Linked DNA regions of Oryctolagus cuniculus. The protein of the gene in region 1 binds, or shares a complex with, the protein of each later gene. Links are inferred from orthologs where the notes say so. Each region holds a gene or a part of one and is shown in the gene's direction. Other genes may lie near its edges.

Region 1 (5,983 bases):
AGGCTTCAGAGCAGGACCTGTCTCTCCGCCCAGTTCCTGCTTGCCTCCACCACTTCCTCCTATTTTTAGGAGCTGAACTTGTCCTTCTGTGAAATCAAGAGAGATGCTGCCGTGGCAGTGGCCGAGGCCGTGGCCGACAAGACTGAGCTGGAGAAGCTGGATCTCAATGGTAGTGAGGGCAGGCGGCCTGGGCACAGACCCGCCAGGCTGGCCTGGTGCTGTCCTGACCAGCCCCTTTCTCCATGAGCAGGCAACACCCTGGGAGAGGAAGGCTGTGAACAGCTGCAGGAGGTGCTGGACAGCTTCAACATGGCCAAGGTGCTGGCGTCCCTCAGGTAGGGAATTCCGGGGGGCGGGGGCTGTCAGGCCACCTGTTCCTTCGTGGCCACTCTCCGTGTCACTGAGCTTCTGTTCTGGGTCAGGCTCTGTGCCAGGCGTGGGAGGTCTGAGGACATCTGACTCGCAGGAAGCGGAGAGAGGAATTGTGTCTTCAGCAAAGAAACACAGAGGGCTGAGCATGGCCACCCTTAGGAGTGGGTGAGCCAGGGGCCTCTGAAGTGACGTCAGGTTTGGTCCTGACCCAGCAGCAGCTGGCACAGAGGGCCGTGAAGCCAGGGCAGTGAAGGGGTGTGAGTGGGCACAGCTGGGGCCCAGGGTTGTTCCCCAGACGCTGACTCTAGGAAGGAAGCGACTGATGCAAGAGAGCGGGGCTCTGCATGTGGGGTGGGGTAGAGGTGGGGAGCGGACGCGCTGCCTCCTGCTGCACTGCACTCGGTCTGTGCTGGCAGCCCCGCCTGCTGGTCTGCAGCTGCACCTCACTGATGCTCAGTCTTGAGTCCCCACTGCAGGCCTGTGCTGCTGCCAGGAACTGGGGACTCAGGGGCTGGACCTCAGGAGGATCCCGGTCTGGGGACAGTGGAACAGCCTTCCTCGGGGCAGGGACAGCTAGACCTTTGCCTCCCTGCACCAGGAGCTTCCTGTGGTCATGAGAAGAGGGTGGCACTGCCCTGGGCATCTCGGCCTGGACAGATCCCGCCACGCCCTGGGCCTCAGCTGTCTCCCTGGGACACTGTGGGCTTCTTTGGGACAGGGACAAGATCTGATTCACCCGTGACTGCAGAAGCTGCTGCACGCTCATCCTTTGTCTTGAAGAATGAGTGACGTGCTCTCTGGTGAGCCCTGGGCCAGCCCCAGGAGCAGGCACCCTCCCCAGACTCCCTGCTGTCTGACTGGAGCCTTGTGGTCAGTGAGGGTCACTGGGTAGGGAGAACCTGCTTTAGCCAACTCCTGTCTGCAGTGATGACGAGGGTGACGATGACGAAGACGAGGAAGAGGAGGAAGGGGAAGAAGAAGATGAGGAGGAAGAGGAAGAAGAGGAGGAGGAAGATGAGGAGGAGGAGGAAGAGGAGGAAGAAGAGTCTCAGCAGCAGCGAGGTCAGGGGGAAGAGTCGACCACACCCTCCAGGAAGATTCTGGACCCTAACAGTGGGGTACGTTCCTTGTCTTCTGCCAGAATCAGAGCCCTGGGCCCCCTGAGCACGCAGTCCTGTAGCGTCTTCCCGAGGGTGGGCCATGGACCTGCTTCAGCACAGCCGCTGCTCCTGGCTGAGACAGAAGGAACAGCTGTGATCCTAGTAACGTGTTTGCTTGCCCGATGCACTTTCACTCACTTAGGTGTGGTAACGTAGGACTGCAAGGCGTGCCTGATGTCCCTCGCCTGGCCCTGGTGGTTTCAGGGTGGCCTTGCCCCAGTCCATCTGTTTGTGTTCCCTTGTAGATTCCCACATAAAGCTTCTGGAGAACTCTGGGTAGGACTGGGACCCCGCCCAGCTGGATTGGGGTCCTCCCTGGTGTCTGGGTGCAGTGGAATGGCAAGGCACGGCTCGGCCCGTGTGTTTCTCCACACCTCTAGCGTTGCTAGCAGTGCTGACCCAGCTAGACTGGTCCCTGGGGGGTCTACCTCAGGTCTCACATGCCTCTCTCTTGAGTCCTTCCCCAGGTGTTGCGTGTCTTAGCATGGACTCACTCTGCCATACCAGGCTTCTGGAATCCTGGGCAGGTGGCTTCCCACACCCCGTATCAGGAACCTACTGGGACCAGCCTCTGTGGGGGCTGCACCCTTTGGGAAACTGCAGCTGAGTGGGAAGAATTGTGGGTGTAGGAGCAGGTACAACCTGGAGTCAGGTTCAGAATCCAACAGAACCACCCACGGCCCCGTCTCTCAGGAACCGGCCCCTGTGCTGTCCTCCCCGCCGCCTGCAGACGTCTCCACCTTCCTGGCCTTCCCCTCTCCTGAGAAGCTGCTGCGCCTGGGACCCAAGAGTTCCATGCTGATAGCCCAACAGGTAATAACAGCACTGTGACCCCAGACTTAACCTGTGCCAGGCTGCTGGAGGGGCCTGACCCCCGAGTCACACAGACACATGTAGCAGCGTGTGCAGTAGATCTGTCCACCACCGGTGCAGGCAGGCGCCTGTGCCTGCTGGGAACTGCTCAGCTGCAGGAAGAGCCACCTGCCGTGGCCAGTGCGGCCTGGAGCGAGGGCCTTTCCCACTCCCGCTCCTGCATGCCTGTGCCTCAGCGTCTCTGTGTTTGGGCCCAGGTGCTTCTAGAACAACCCTCTGGCCAGGGCCTCTTTGGAGGTCACAGCCTTCTGCAGGGAGGCCGCCCAGCTGCAGCCTTGCTGGTTGGTTCATTCGCTCATCCCAAGTTGATTCTGCAGCACTGTTTTCTGGTGGGCTCTGTATTTGGTCATGGTTTTATTTAGTCCTCTTGCAACTTGAAATGTGGTCCGTTACACTCCTTTTATAGATGAAAAAATGGAGGCTCAGGGAGCCCACGTGTGGGGTTGGCTTGACATTTTCAGTGATTTCCTTTTGAATGTTTTGTCTGTATACTTTTTTGCAACATGATAAATATGAGATTATATAATGGAAACCTTTCTGTATCCTACACTTTGACTTAGCCCTGTTCATGGTTTTCCTGGTTATGAAACTTTGCGTACGCTTGGTTCAGATGAGCAGGCCAGTGTCTCTGGACATTTGTATCTTGCCACTTTCCTCTCTTGTTAGTGGAGTTGAGGGACACATCCTTGTGTGAATATTGTCCATATTCTGCGTTATTTCTTCAGTTTGGATTACAAGAAAGAAACCAGAGGACCCCAGGGATGACAGTTTTCAGGGCTTATCCACTCTATATGTGCTGTGGGCCAGGCTCTAGGTAGGCTCCACGGGACAGCCTGGGGTGAGGACAGGTGAGGGCCCTGTCCTTGCCCTCTAGCGGTCACAGGTGCCAAGGCCTCTCATAAGCCCCAGAACAGGCAGATCATTGTGCCCGGCCCTGGGACTCGGGCCCCTGACCGTCCTCTCTGGTGTCCTCAGACTGATACATCTGACCCGGAGAAAGTGGCTGCTGCCTTCCTGAAGGTGTCGTCTGTGTTTAAGGATGAAGCTGCGGTGAGGACGGCAGTGCAGGACGCAGTAGGTAACGTGGGCGCCGAGGGGCTCTGCTCCAGCGCTGGTGCGGCATGCGCTCCCAGCCACTCTGGCCTGGCCTGTCAGGTCTTGCCATGGCCTGCTGTGGGGCGGGCTGGGTGCTCTCCTGGTTTTTGAAGCTCTGTTGGGCAAACTAGGTCTTTCCTAAAGCCAGACAGCTGTAGAAAACTCACAAGTGATGTCCAGTGCAGGTGCCCAGTGTGGAGGGCCAGAGTCGGGTCCACAAGGACCCATTCAGGAGGTGGGTGATGCAAGCTGAGCCTTGGTCCCCACCTTGGGCCTGTGTGTATGTGAGCCCCTCTGCGGGAGGGTCCTCACTTTCCTTTCCCAGGTCCCCTCCCTCCCTTCCTCCCTCCCTCCCTCCCTTCCTCCCTCCCTTCCTTTTCTTAACTTATGCTCATTTACTTAAAAGACAAGGAGAGACAGTGTGATCTGAACATCCACTAGGTCACCCTCCAAACACCTGCAACAGCTGGGGCTGGACCGTGCCAAAGCCCAGAACCTGGAATTTACTGGAGGCCTCCCACAGGGATGGCAGGGCCACCATCTGCTGCCTCCCAGGGTGCACATTAGCAGAAAGCTGGAGTTGGGGTAGAGTGGGCTCAGACCCAAGCACTGGTACGGGTGTGGGCATCTTGTTAAGCCTCACGCCGTGTTCACCCTTCCCCAAGTCATTCTTGAGTGCACTCTGGTAAGCCCTGTGACCACGTTTGCTTCCAGAGCCTGTCACCTTCCTCCTTGGTGCTGTTTGAGCCAGTGTGGACCAGATTTCAGTAGGCAGGAAGGGGTTGGGGGGTCCTGTGGTGAGGACACAGCTTATGCAGGAGGAGAGGAGGGATAGGAAGTGCTGGGGCTTCCCCAGAGTCAGCTGTGGGCATAGAGGCCAAGGCCAGCTGGGAGCGTGCAGGTCTCCCTGAGAATTAATGGGAGAACAAGAGGCTCGAGTTCTGTTTCTCAGAGCGGCCTGGCACACTCCCTGCAGGTCCCCCCAACCTGGCTACACCTCCTCCAGTGGTGGGGTGTCCACATATGGGAACCAGCTGTGTGAGGTGGGCACAGTGGCTTCGTCTCCATGCCATTTTACATGTTAGGCCAGGAGGGGAGGGGCCAAGGTATCTAGCCAAGCTTCTCATTGTGCCAAGTGCCTCCCCAGTCTGGTGCCTGTCCCTGTCATTCCTCGCCATGTTCACCTCTCGATGGGACAGGGAGGCAGGGCCGGGCCTTGGGACACCCTTGGGCCTGTGCCCAGCCCTCTGCTGCTTCTGCCCCACAGACGCCCTTATGAAGAAGGCCCTCAGCTGCTCGTCCTTCAACCCCAATGCCTTCCTCACCAGGCTGCTCATCCACATGGGCCTGCTGAAGGTGAGGTCAGAGGAGCGGCGGGTGCAGGGGCGGCTGCCCAGGTCACCACCCCAAGGCTTCCTGCGGCTCCAGTCCTGTCCCCAAGCAGCCTGGGCTCTGTGACGGGCTCTCTGTGGGGCCTCAGTGAGCCACTGTCTGGGTGGTGGAGCCCAGGGCCCTCCAGATGACTTCTAGCTCACCTCCCTTCTGCTGTGTCCTCTTGCAGAGTGAAGACAAGATCAAGGCCATTGCCAACCTGTACGGCCCCCTTATGGCACTGAACCACATGGTGCAGCAGGACTATTTCCCCAAGGCTCTCGCACCCCTGCTGCTGGCATTCATGACCAAGTGAGTGTGGCTTTGTCGCATTTATCCACACTGGCCTTCCACTTGCCTGGCCTGGTGAGGAGTCCCAGCCCAGCCAGCCTGCTGCGCCACGTGGGCACCTGGAGGCCCTTGCCCCTCCTGGGCCCTCTCCCAGCATTGCCATAGTTAAGAAATTTGCCTGCATCACACACCAGCAAGGGACCAGGCTGGTGTCTTACCCAAGTCTGCTCATGGATCCCATACTTATCGGGGTCCCTGTGGTCAGTTCTGTCGGTTCCCACAGTTGCATCATTCTAAGGGCCCTGGTCATCCTGGGCTTCCCTTGTGGACACACCTTGCTGTGGGAGCTGCCTGGTCCCCAGAGACTTAAACCTTGGCTAGGCCCTGGAGCACTGGTCACAGTCGGGTAATAAAGCATTAGGACCACCAGGCAGGGGTGCCCTCTCTGAGGCCTCGGGCCTCAGCCTCCCCACTGGATCAACCAGAGAGCTCTGTGCAGCCACACTTCTGTGAGGCCCAGCGCCTTTGGGGATGTGGGCGTGAGAGGAGCAGGAAGATCCCTGCCCTGAGGGGCGTGTAGCCCCGTAGGTGAGGCCCAGCACTCGGGGCTGCATCAGGACACGTGCAGCCTGCGGGACCGTGTTGCGGGGAGGCCATGTGGTAGGCGTGCGAGGACTGGCACCGACTCCCTTGCCGCAGGCCTGGTCGCCTCAGCGTCTGGCAGTTCATCTGCTACTGCAGGCATCCACCCACCTGCCACAAAGACTGCCCAGGCTGCAGGCGGCCTGGCTTTGTGGAGAGATCTGACTGCCTGCTCCTCT
Region 2 (5,983 bases), on another chromosome or scaffold:
ACATGCAACCTTGGAAACACTGCTCAGGTTTCTGAACTGGATTCCACTGGGATATATTTTTGAGACCAAGTTAATTAGCACATTAATTTATAAGGTAGTATGAATATATTTTGTTACTGCTTACTTGTATATATCCTTTTAAGTTGTAAAGATCTTTCTGCATAGCCAGTGTTTCTGAGGTGACAGTGCACAAAAGGAATGTTTCCATAATTATAGCTAGTAATTGAAATGAGTCAAATTCTGTGATTCTGCCACTTATATCCTATAATTTCATTTAATTTAAATGACAGACTTGATTATATTTAGTCACCTTTTCTGTTTTTCATTTATTTGAGAGGCTGGGAAAGAGACAAACTGCTCCCTTCTGTTGGGTCATTTCTCAGATTGCCCTCAAGGGCCTAGACTGGACCTCAGTTTAGGCATCCCACTTACTTGAAGCATTACCTGCTACTTCCCAGAAGCTGGGGAATCTTGGGAAGAGGCAGGACCTAAACCATGATACTCTTTAAAAAAAAAAAAAAGGAATGTTTGCATCCCAACAGTTCAGCCACTTAACCAGTCACCCCTTCACTCTCAGCTACATTCTTGTGTATATAGGATATTTATACTCATATCAAGCATTTCCTTCCAGTAAATTTGTTTAAAATGGAATTAGCAGGTCAATAGACATGTCCTTTTTTAAAAGATTTATTACTTGAAAAATAGGCAGAGTTACAGAGAAAAAGAGACATATCTCTTCTGTCTATTGGTTCATCCCCCAAATGGCCCTAACTGCAGGGACTGTTTCAAGCCAAAGCCAGCAGCCCAATATTCCGTACTAGTCTTGTACTGTTTTGCCAAATGCATAAACAGCTAGATTGGAAGCAGAGCAGGCAGGACTTGAATAGATACTCATGGCCCATATATGTCTATTTCTATCCCATTAAGTCTCAAGTTTTCAATTCTGCAACTATTTCTAGGACATATATTTAATTAAATGTTACTGTAAGTGGTATAGTTATTGTTCAATTTAAGTCTTTATAGGTGTCTTATGAATAGAATGTAATAGGCTAAGGCTTTTAATGCTTACCAAACTGCCACCCACTGATAGCTTTGCCACTTATATATTTTCTCCAAATTCATAGTATTCCTTAGATGATGGAATTTCCTTAAAATAATCTCTAAAATAAGGCATATCATTCACTTACCTATTTGACTGCTAACTTGTTTCTGATTGTTAAATCTTTTCCTTTCCTTAAAATGTTTATCTTAAGCATCATGTGCTTCAGCTATTTAATTTTATGTTTCTCTTTTTTAAAAATATAGTTCCTGAATGTTCCAATGTTTCGAAATGTCTCTCTGAAGTGCCTCACCGAGATTGCTGGTGTGAGTGTAAGCCAATATGAGGAACAATTTGTAACGCTATTTACACTGACAATGATGCAGCTAAAACAGGTAATAGTCTGCTATCTTGAAAATGGAACCATTTTTGTGCCTTAGAAAATGTTGGATTCAAGTTCAGATATTTTACCTCCATGTGTTACACATCAAGTGTATTGAGATATTGTGTTTTTATTTTTTTAAGATTTATTTATTTGAAAGAGTTCGAGAGAGAGAGAGAGAGGTCTTCCATCTGATGGTTCACTCCCCAGTTGGTTGCAGTGGCTGAAGCTGTGCCGATCCAAAGCCAGGAGCTTCCTCTGGGTCTCCCACACGGGTGCAGGTCCCAAGGACTTGGGCCATCTTCTACTGCAGTCCCAGGCCATAGCAGAGAGCTAGATAGGAAATGGAGCAGCCAGGTCTCGAGCTGGCACCCATATGGGATGCCGGCGCTGCAGGCCAAGGCGCCAACTCTGAAATATTGTGTTTCTATAAAATCAGTAGTAAAACAGAAGTTTTTAATGGGAACTGAAAATTACTTGAAGTAAAGGTTTTAGGTGTGTCAAAAGAATACATTTTTTAAAATTAAGATTTGTTTCTTTGAGAAACCGAGTTATAGAGAGAGAAATCTTACATCTGCTGGTTCACTCCCCAAATGGCCACAACAGCTATAGCTGAGCTGATCCGAAGCCAAGAGTCATGAGCGTTTTTGCGGTCTCCCATGTGGGTGCAAGGGCCCAAGGACTTGGACCATCTTCCACTGCTTTCCCAGACCATTAGCAGGGAGTTGGATTGGAAGTGGAGCAGTTGGGTCTTGAACCAGCACCAATATGGATGCTGTGCAGAAGCTTAACCTACTACACAACAGTGCCAGCCCCAACAATGTATTTTCTCCAGAATTTACAAGCTTTATCTTGCTGCAGAGATCAGACTAGATATTGGGAAACGTTTTCATTGTCGCTGAGAAAGGAAAAGTCTGATGGAAAAATTGAAAGACTATAATAGAGCTAGTTTCCCTGTAACCTTTCTTTTTGGAGAAAATCGAAAACCTAGGTCACAGAGAAATAAAAGGAGGCATAACAGAATGAGGAGTCCTCTTATGGCTTAATATTAATAAATGTGTATTGTGTAGGCTTACAGGTTTAAATTATAGTGTTTAATTTTTCAAAAATATTTTTGTTTTAATTTTTAAGTATTTATTTTAATTTACAGATGCTTCCTTTAAATACCAATATTCGACTAGCATATTCAAATGGAAAAGATGACGAACAGAACTTTATTCAAAACCTCAGTTTGTTTCTCTGCACCTTTCTTAAGGAACACGGTCAACTTATAGAAAAAAGATTAAATCTCAGGGAAACACTCATGGAGGTAGGCTTTTTGGAGTCTTTGGGTTCTGAAATGCTTTTCTGTATTAAAAAAACTCAAAAATATGATGCCTGTTACTTTCCCTGTGTGTGTGTGTGTGTGTGTGTGTGTGTGTGTGTATGAATGTATGTATATATGTGTATATCTATGTATGTGTGTATATATGCGTGTATATATGCGTATATACATATGTATATATTCGTGTGTGTGCATATATACATATACACACACAAATAATATATTTTGTCAGTTTTCAAATACAGTCAATAAGCTGAGTTTCTAATTTTCTGCATAAGGCTGTGTCTACTAATTTCTCATAAAAATAAATTCCTAAACAATATTACACATGTAACTTTACAAGCTAAATGTCCAAAAATATTTTATAATTAATTGAGGCATTCACATAAGTTTATCCATTTGGGTGTATGCAGTCAAGTAGCATTTTTTGTATAAGTATTAATATCTATTTCAAAACAGTTTTCATCAACCCTGAAGGAGATTGTGTACCCCTCAAACTAATCATTATCTCTGTAGTTTTCCTCAACCACTATAAACCATTTAGTTGGTTTCTGCCAGTGGACTTAGCTGTTCTGCTTTTTTCATCTAAATTTAGATCATACAGCCTGTGACTTTTGTGTATGGTTTCTGTGTCAGTTTGATGTATTTAAAGATTCCTCTGTTATATTCTTATCAATTATATTCTATTATATGAACATAACATCTTATTTATCAATTTACCTTTAAACATTTGGATTATTTCTGCACTTTGGCTATCATCAAAGGACTTTTACAAACAATGTTTTTAAGCTATTTGATTATAATACATAATGATCAACTTTTTAGGAGGTTGTTGGAAGTATGGTGGCATATGTCAGAAAAAGCACCATTTGTTTTCAGAGTTCATAGATTTGAGTAAGTAATGAAATCAAAGATGTATGAAATAAAACATTAATTTCCAATTAAAGTAGCAAGTGGAAGGTAATTTTGAGATTTGATAGTAAATACAAATTAACACTTTTGGTCTTACAGGCTCTTCATTATATGTTGCTGGTATCAGAAGTTGAAGAAACTGAAATCTTTAAGATTTGTCTTGAATACTGGAATCACTTGGCAGCTGAACTCTATAGAGAGAGCCCATTTTCTACATCTGCCTCTCCATTGCTGTCAGGAACTCAACATTTTGATGTTCCCCCCAGGAGACAGCTCTATCTGCCAGTGTTATCCAAGGTATGTATTCTTCCTGATGCTTACTGTGGTTTTGATTGCTATATGTAGATCCTTTTAATCTGGCTAATCTATCTAAATTAATAAGCTGCCAAAAGGATCCAACAACTTCTGCAGGAATTGTGAAAGCTGGAACCAGAAAGAATTTGATTTGGCCATGATTTTCAGAAGCAGTTTCTGTCCTTGCATCATCAACATCACTTGAGAATTTGTTGGGCATGCAAGTTCATTGGCCTTTCACTTTTGCATTGATAGAGAATGTGGAAAAGAGACACAGGAAACTGTTGCAATGAAATTTAAATTTTTGCCTTTATAGTTCACGTTTTTTATGTGATCAAGTAATAGCATTAAATATCTTTTTAACTTTTCTGGAAATTTTTTTTTGGCATGGTAATTTAAGTACATGCCTTGAGTTTTCCCCCTAAGTTTCTACATTTGTGGCTAATAGCATATAGCTAACAGATTTTCTTAATTGTCTTCTTGTTGGATAGGTCCGTTTATTGATGGTTAGTCGTATGGCGAAACCAGAGGAAGTATTGGTTGTAGAAAATGATCAGGGAGAAGTTGTGAGAGAATTCATGAAGGATACAGATTCCATAAATTTGTATAAAAATATGAGAGAAACATTAGGTAAGTTAAAACCTACTTTGAGATGGGAATAATTTTCAGAAAATGGGGTACACTGATGTTTTAAAGTAGCCATTTTTATTAATTTACTTTTTTTAATAAAAGTTTCTGGCTCATTGTGTTTTGCAATTGAAACATCTGAAATTTTTCTTTGTAGTTTATCTTACTCATCTGGATTATGTAGATACAGAAAGAATAATGACTGAAAAGCTTCACAATCAAGTGAATGGGACAGAGTGGTCATGGAAAAATTTGAATACATTGTGTTGGGCAATAGGCTCCATTAGTGGAGCCATGCATGAAGAGGATGAAAAACGATTTCTTGTTACTGTTATAAAGGTAAGCAAAGAATATATGTGAACTATAGCCATAAAATACTTTGTTAAGATAAATGACTTAAAATTGTCTTATTTTACAGGATCTATTAGGATTATGTGAACAGAAAAGAGGGAAAGATAATAAAGCTATTATTGCATCAAATATCATGTACATAGTAGGTCAATATCCAAGATTTTTGAGAGCTCACTGGAAATTTTTGAAGACTGTAGTTAACAAGCTGTTTGAATTCATGCATGGTAAATTATTCATTTAATTCAATATGTTTTAATTTTTTTTTAATTGAGCAAAATAGATGAATGTTTTTATTTTATTAGAGACCCATGATGGAGTCCAGGACATGGCTTGTGATACTTTTATTAAAATAGCTCAGAAGTGCCGCAGGCATTTTGTTCAAGTCCAGGTTGGAGAAGTAATGCCATTTATTGATGAAATTTTGAACAACATTAACACTATCATTTGTGATCTTCAGCCTCAACAGGTATGTAAAATGCTAAGCATGTAATTTTTAGAAAGTGATCCCTGTATTAATAAGAATTTAATGGAAATAAAATCCTACAGTTAAATTAATTGTAAGTTTTTGTGTTGACCTTTCATAGCAAGCCAGAAACTTAACAGTTGGTTTGCTAGACTATTGTCCTATGTAATATAGAGTGAGTGTGTTGTGTGATTTTCTTTACCAAAATGCATAAGTGTAAGCAAAGTCTGCTTTTTAAAATAGGTTCATACATTTTATGAAGCTGTGGGCTACATGATTGGTGCACAAACAGACCAGACAGTCCAAGAACATCTGATTGAAAAATACATGCTGCTCCCCAATCAAGTGTGGGATAGTATAATCCAGCAGGCAACCAAAGTAAGTTTTAGTTGGAATTGAAGAAGAAATTTGCAAATGTGATTTTTGTACTTTTGATATATACCATATATGCATATTCCTGATCCATAAGTGATTTTTGAAAAAATTAATATTTCCGTTTTCTTTTGTCTGAAAGGCAGACAGAGAGAGAGACAGGCAGTCAGAAATCTTCATCTGCTGGTTTACTCCCCAGCACCCAAGGCCAGCCACTCA
Region 3 (5,983 bases), on another chromosome or scaffold:
GTTTAAGCTTGAATATTTTCATAGTGTAACTTTATAGGTCTTTGGTAGTTTATTTTTCAAGGCGCAAGTGTTTCAGTGACGAAGTTTTTTTCAGTCTCAGATTTTTAGTATGTGATAGTGGCTCTGTGGTAAAATAGCAATCTTTGGACTTTATATTTCAGGACATGGAAAAGGAAATCAGTAATGCTCTAGGCCATGGTCCACAGGATGAGATCCTAAGTAGTGCTTTCAAATTGCGAATTACTCGAGGCGATATCCAGACCTTAAGGAACTATCACTGGCTGAACGATGAAGTAAATTGTCTTTTTCTCCCCCCTTTTACTGTCTAGTTATATTTAACCATGTACTACCCTGACCAAAGTGTTTCCTATCCAATTATAATAAGCTGCTAATGCAACTTTTAGTTTTATTTAAAACAAATCCTAAACCTTAAAAAGATGTTTCCTTCTGATTGTTTGTACAGATTTCCCTCTTCTACATCTGTGCTTAGTTACATCCACAACTTCAGTTACTAATCAACATTTTCATAAGCCCTAGGCGCCATAAGATGAGCCCTAGATGAACTCTTATGGGAACTCTTATTTTTTCAGTATTAAAGGGATGTATTGATTGCTATATATGAGTGTATGTCTTTTTATTTAATTTGAGTTATATCTTGATCCATTCCTGCTGCTATAAAAAAATTATAGCCGAGGTAACTTATAAACAATAGAGGTTTGCTGCTTCTGGTTCTGGAGGCAGGATAGTCCAGGGTCAAAGTGCTAGCAGATTCAGTGTGCAGTGAAGGCCCAGTCCCTGCTTCTAAGCCAGCAGGAAAGGCACTGAGTCATCATGTGGCAGAAGCGCAAAAGGAGCTGGGACACTTCCCCTCAACTTCCTTTGTAAGAGCCCAAATCACGTTCATGAGGGTAGAGCACTTGTGACTTAATCAATTGGAAATTATATATGCCCTATATGGGTATAGAGGGGCACATATATTCAAAGCACAAGTGAGAGCTGCAAAATTTGCCTGTTGTGTCCTTGCATATTTAGCAAAAGTTAGCTCTTACCACTTCTTTCCATTGGTTCTTTCCCCACCTGCTCAGTCCCTGCATTTTCTCCCTTTGCCTTCCTTCCCCTTATCCTATTCCCCCATAACTAGTTAACTTATCACATGTATTTTTAAAGACTTACTTATTTATTTGAAACACAGAGTTATGGAGGAAGGAGGAAGTCAGAGAATGAGATCTTCCATCTGCTTGTTTACTCCCCAAATGGCCACAATGATTGAAGCTGGGCTGATCCGAAGCTAGGAGCAAGAGCTTCCTCTGAGTCTCCCAAAATAATGCACTTTTAAAATTAGCATGTTTTGTTTCACATTTTATGTGTAATGTGTTTATTATAGAAAATACAGGAAAAGTGAATTATTGTTCAAAAGTGCTGCTAAAAATTAAGTAAAATATTAATGTATAATAAGTATGTTTAATGTATTTTAATGTTTTAAAATCAAAGTATAATTTAGTAAGATTTGTTTCCATTAGTATTTCTATTTTCTTGTGTGATACAGCTGCAGGTAGTTTTTCATTATTCCACAGTTCTTTCTCTTGTTTGTCTTTGCTACTCATGCCTCAAAAGAACACTTTTATGCATCCTTAATCTCTCCTGTCTCCCAATTTTTTTTTTAATCTTCTGCAGAGACAGTGCTTTCATTCCTTTCATCCCCTTCTCTCATACCTTCCCTTCTCCATATATTAACTTCGCACTTTGTAATTCATCCTTACTTGGGTAGAAATTTAGTTTTCAGTAATATGCTGCCCATATTCCAACTTAGACTCTCTTGCTATTTTACAGGTCATTAATTTTTATATGAATCTTCTGGTTGAAAGAAATAAAAAGCAAGGCTATCCAGTACTTCATGCATTCAGTACTTTCTTCTATCCTAAATTAAAGTCTGGGGGTTACCAAGCAGTGAAAAGATGGACCAAAGGGGTAAATCTCTTTGAACAGGAACTTATTCTGGTGCCTATTCATCGAAAGGTACACTGGAGCCTGGTGGTAAGTTGAGAGGATTAGTTGTTGGGGTTTGGATACAGACTGTTTTCTTAAATAATTAAGGCTACTCTTTTCTGTCCAGTGATAAGACCAGTAAGGATATGTTAAAGGCATGCTGCGTAGAGTACCTTCTGAACAGCTTGGAAAGCTAGGAGACACAGTCCCTATACCTGGAGCTTTCATTCAGTTTTGTTTATAAGATGTTAAACAGATTTATTATAAAAGAATGAAAGTATAAAGAAGAGAACAAACAAAATTCATCATTGAGAGGGCCACTGATACTTTGGTGAATTAGTTTCTAGCCCTTTCTCTAGGAATAGAAATATATATATGTTAACTTACAATGTTTTGTAACTTTTTTTAAATTAAAGAATATGTCCTAGAAATTCATTCATGTTTGATTTTTTCAAAGATGGTTTTAATTTTGGAAATAAAGTTCTTCTGCTATATATAAGATGTTTTTGGATAATGCAATTTTCCATTATAGGTGATGGACCTAAGAAAAAAGTGTCTTAAATATCTGGATTCTATGGGGCAAAAGGGCCACAGGATCTGTGAGATTCTTCTGTAAGTAAAGATTGAAAAACTTCACTACTGTCTCATTAAACCCTTGTTAGGGTTTAATGGTGTTTAACAATCACCATTGTTTTTCTGTTTAATCCTAGGAAGCTCTGGATGGTAGTCTTAATGTACAGTTAAGATTCTCTATCTGTTAGGTCAGAACTTAATTGAATCCATCTTTTTTGGTTTAAATATGATATCTGATCTTTGAGAACATCTTACTTGGTAGCATATTCAATTGAAAACAAGTTTGTCATGTGTTATTATGTAAACTATACCTTGTTCGAATCCTTATCCTGTGATTTGAATGAGATCTCTTTGGATTTGTTACATTATTCTGAATGTCCTAAAGAACTGTTATAGGGAGTATTAGTCCTCTAAATTTTGGAGCCTACTCCATGTCTTTGTGCTTTCATGAGAGTTGGCTTCATCTCATGGAATACAGGGGAAACTTTTAAGTTAATAGTCATCCCCTTACTTCTGGGGATGAGTTCCAAGATCGCTAGTGGGTAGCTGAAACCACAGACTGTTCCCAAACATATCTGTTTTCCCTCTTGCCCTGCAGTGATGCTGTATGGTGCCCAAGTTAACCTGTCTTTCCTTGTCTCATTTGCATCACTACTTTTGTGCTTTGGGGCCATTTAGGTAAAATTAGATTAATTTGAACACAATATGAAAGCATGACAGTTGATTTGATAACAAAGATGGCTACTCAGTGACTGGGCGGGTGGTATATACAGCATGGATAAGCAAGGACAAAGGGTTGATTTATGTCCCAGGCCAGACCAAGTGGACAGTGTGAGATTTCATCATGTTACACAGAACAATGTGCAGTTTAGATGTTATGAAGCATGTATTATTTTTATAAGGTTTATTTAATTATTTGTAAGAGTTAAAGTTGTGTGGAGGGGAAGATCTCTTCCATTTTTACTTTCCAAATGGCTATGATGGCTGGAGGTTGGCCATGCTGAAGCCAGGAGCCAGAGGAGTTTCATCCCAGTCTCTCATATGGGTGGCAGGGGCCCAATTACTTGGACCATTTTTTCCTGCTTTCCCTTGCTAATTAGCAGGGAGCTGGATCAGAAGTGGAGTAACCAGGACTCCAGCTGGTATCCATATGGGATGCCAGCATACAGACTACAGCTTAACTTGCTGTGCCAAGTGCTGGCCCCATGAATTACTTATTTATTTCTGGAATTTCCCTTTATATTTTTGGACTGTGGGTAACTGAAACTACAAATACTGTAGTAATTGCTAGAAACCAGCCTTTAAAGTCTAGCCTCTTATTTCTTTTAAGTGGTAATGTGAATTTTTTTTAAAGATTTATTTTATTTATTTGAAAGAGTTAAAGAGAGAGGTAGAGACAGATAGAGAGGTCTTCCATCTGCTGGTTCACTCCCCAGATAGGTGCAACGGCTGGAATGGCGGTGATCTTAAGCCAGGAGCCAGGAGCCTCCTCCAGGTCTCTCACCGTGGGTGGAGGGGCCCAAGAACTTGGGCCGTCTTCTGCTGCTATCCTAGGCCATAGCGAGAGCTGGATTGGAAGAGGAGCAGCTGGGACTAGAACAGGTGCCCATATGGGATGCCGGCACCTCAGGCCAGGACGTTAACCCACTGCTCCACAGTGCCAGCCCAGTAACATGAGCTTCATAGTGAGAATGCTGTCAGTAAGATGAATCCATTTTGAATCTCTTTTACTTTCTGGAAGCAACTGCAGTTTTCTGCTTTTAACTTTTCTGAGGATAAATGAATTTGTTAAGTTAATCTTGTGAAAGAAGATATGATTACTAAAAATTCAAAAATTTTTAATGTTTTAACATAAAAGACCCTTTTTATTTTTATCTATCTTGATAAACAAACAAACAAACTGAGGCTGGTTTCTAGCAATTACTACAGTAGTTGTAGTTTCAGTTACCCACAGTCCAAAAATATCAAAAGGAACATTCCAGAAATAAATAAATACTTCATGGGGTCAGCACTGTGGCACAGCAAATTAAGCTGCTGCCTGTATGCTGGCATTCCATGTGGACACCAGATTGAGTCCTGGCTGTTCCACTTCTGATCCAGCAATTAGAAACTGGTTATGATACACCAAATTATTTGATCTTTCTGGTATTTTCTGTGTAAGATGTTTATAAAATGTACACATATACATACCTGTATGCGCATACATACATTTATATTACCACATGCATAGAAATTTCTTACTGGAATCACACACAAGAGTATTGGGTGGTGCTTATAACAATACATACTTCTGTTACATTCATATTCCCTCCCTGCTTGCCTACCTTTCTTTTGGAAGGTTCAGTTCCCATGTATCTAAGGTTTACTATGCTCCTAGTCCAGTTTTCTCTGCTTTTTTTTTATTGTCCCCTTCCCCCTGAGACTTTTGTAATTTAATTTCTCCATAACGAGAGACAATAATACTAAGCAATAAGTCATAATTGGTTGAGCTTTAGAGGGCTACAAACCATCGAAATATCTAAAGATTATTACCGCTAAGTACCAGTTTTCACTCCCTTGGGAGCAATGTTACCTTATTTGAGAGTATAGGACCTGGTTGGTCTAATACCAGTTTAACTTATTTTGCAGCTTAGCAGGAAAACTGTAAAATTAATCACTTTCAGTAGTTAAGTATGTCTTCTAAGAATATAAAATTCTGCTACAGTGGTGGGTATTTTAGTGCAGCAGAGTAATCCACCACTTAGGGATACCTCCATCCTATATCAGAGTGCCTGGTTTGAGTCCCAGCTACTCTCTGTGTTTCTGATCCAGCTTCCTGGTAATCCATCTGGGAAGCAGTGGATGATGGTGTAACAACTTGGGTTCCTTCTGCCTTCATGAGAGACTCAGATGGAGTTGCTGATTCCTGGCTTCTGCCTGATTGTTGCAAGAAATTGGGGTGGGGCTGGTGCTGGTAGTGCTGTGGTGCTGGTATCCCATGGGTGCTGGTTCTAGTCCTGACTGCTCCTCTTCTGATTCAGCTCTCTGCGGTGGCCTGAGAAAGCAGTAGAAGATGGCCCCTGGCCAGCGCCGCGGCTCACTAGGCTAATCCTCCACCTAGCAGCGCCGGCAGTCGGGGCACCGGATTCTGTCCTGGTTGCCCCTCTTCCAGGCCAACTCTCTGCTGTGGCCCTGGAATGCAGTGGAGGATGGCCCAAGTGCTTGGGCCCTGTACCCCATGGGAGACCAGGATAAGCACCTGGCTCCTGCCTTCAGATCAGCGTGGTGTGCCAGCTGCAGCGCGCCAGCCTTGGCGGCCATTGGAGGGTGAACCAACGGCAAAAAACCAACTACCCACTCTGCCTGTCAAAAAAAAAAAAAAAAAAAAAAAAAGATGGCCCCTGCACCCATATGGGAGACCTAGAAAAGCTTCTGGCTCCTAGCT

What was found.
Region 2: the proteins of RANGAP1 (region 1) and XPO1 are in contact, whole or in part, in a cryo-EM structure (PDB 9B62), measured with the Homo sapiens proteins. The link is inferred for Oryctolagus cuniculus from reciprocal best matches to the Homo sapiens genes RANGAP1 and XPO1. Residues at the interface, in NP_001265580.1 of Homo sapiens: Ala2, Asp5, Ile6, Leu9, Ala10, Thr12, Leu13, Ala14, Thr16, Gln17, Val18, Ala19, Gln22, Leu23, Ser24, Phe25, Lys28, Glu44, Arg55, Ala561, Thr564, Lys565, Pro566, Ser568, Glu571, Ser572, Ser574, Phe575, Arg577, His578; in NP_003391.1 of Homo sapiens: Lys245, Ser248, Thr249, Tyr252, Lys253, Glu281, Gln282, Val284, Thr285, Leu289, Met292, Gln293, Gln296, Arg340, Asn342, Leu343, Lys514, Val518, Ile521, Lys522, Leu525, Glu529, Arg532, Lys534, Lys537, Ala538, Ala541, Met545, Phe554, His558.
Region 3: the proteins of RANGAP1 (region 1) and SENP2 are in contact, whole or in part, in a crystal structure (PDB 2IO3), measured with the Homo sapiens proteins. The link is inferred for Oryctolagus cuniculus from reciprocal best matches to the Homo sapiens genes RANGAP1 and SENP2. Residues at the interface, in NP_001265580.1 of Homo sapiens: Glu467, Asn508, Thr511, Thr514, Arg515, Val518, His519, Leu523, Lys524, Ser525, Glu526, Asp527, Val529; in NP_067640.2 of Homo sapiens: Tyr408, His409, Trp410, Val477, His478, Asp495, Met497, Gly498, Gln499, Lys500, Pro536, His537, Gln541, Gln542, Asn544, Gly545.

What each region holds. Positions count from the first base shown.
Region 1 is NC_091442.1:117,317,243-117,323,225, reverse strand, and holds part of RANGAP1 (ran GTPase-activating protein 1), read left to right. Parts: intron 1-69; coding exon 70-169; intron 170-250; coding exon 251-335; intron 336-1,297; coding exon 1,298-1,490; intron 1,491-2,225; coding exon 2,226-2,345; intron 2,346-3,380; coding exon 3,381-3,483; intron 3,484-4,767; coding exon 4,768-4,856; intron 4,857-5,061; coding exon 5,062-5,183; intron 5,184-5,983. UniProt on the Homo sapiens protein: GTPase activator for RAN. Converts cytoplasmic GTP-bound RAN to GDP-bound RAN, which is essential for RAN-mediated nuclear import and export. Mediates dissociation of cargo from nuclear export complexes containing XPO1, RAN and RANBP2 after nuclear export.
Region 2 is NC_091433.1:141,247,562-141,253,544, forward strand, and holds part of XPO1 (exportin-1), read left to right. Parts: coding exon 1-94; intron 95-1,305; coding exon 1,306-1,434; intron 1,435-2,571; coding exon 2,572-2,730; intron 2,731-3,756; coding exon 3,757-3,954; intron 3,955-4,442; coding exon 4,443-4,581; intron 4,582-4,735; coding exon 4,736-4,917; intron 4,918-4,996; coding exon 4,997-5,153; intron 5,154-5,231; coding exon 5,232-5,395; intron 5,396-5,635; coding exon 5,636-5,770; intron 5,771-5,983. UniProt on the Homo sapiens protein: Mediates the nuclear export of cellular proteins (cargos) bearing a leucine-rich nuclear export signal (NES) and of RNAs.
Region 3 is NC_091435.1:95,280,123-95,286,105, forward strand, and holds part of SENP2 (sentrin-specific protease 2), read left to right. Parts: intron 1-161; coding exon 162-293; intron 294-1,830; coding exon 1,831-2,034; intron 2,035-2,518; coding exon 2,519-2,598; intron 2,599-5,983. UniProt on the Homo sapiens protein: Protease that catalyzes two essential functions in the SUMO pathway.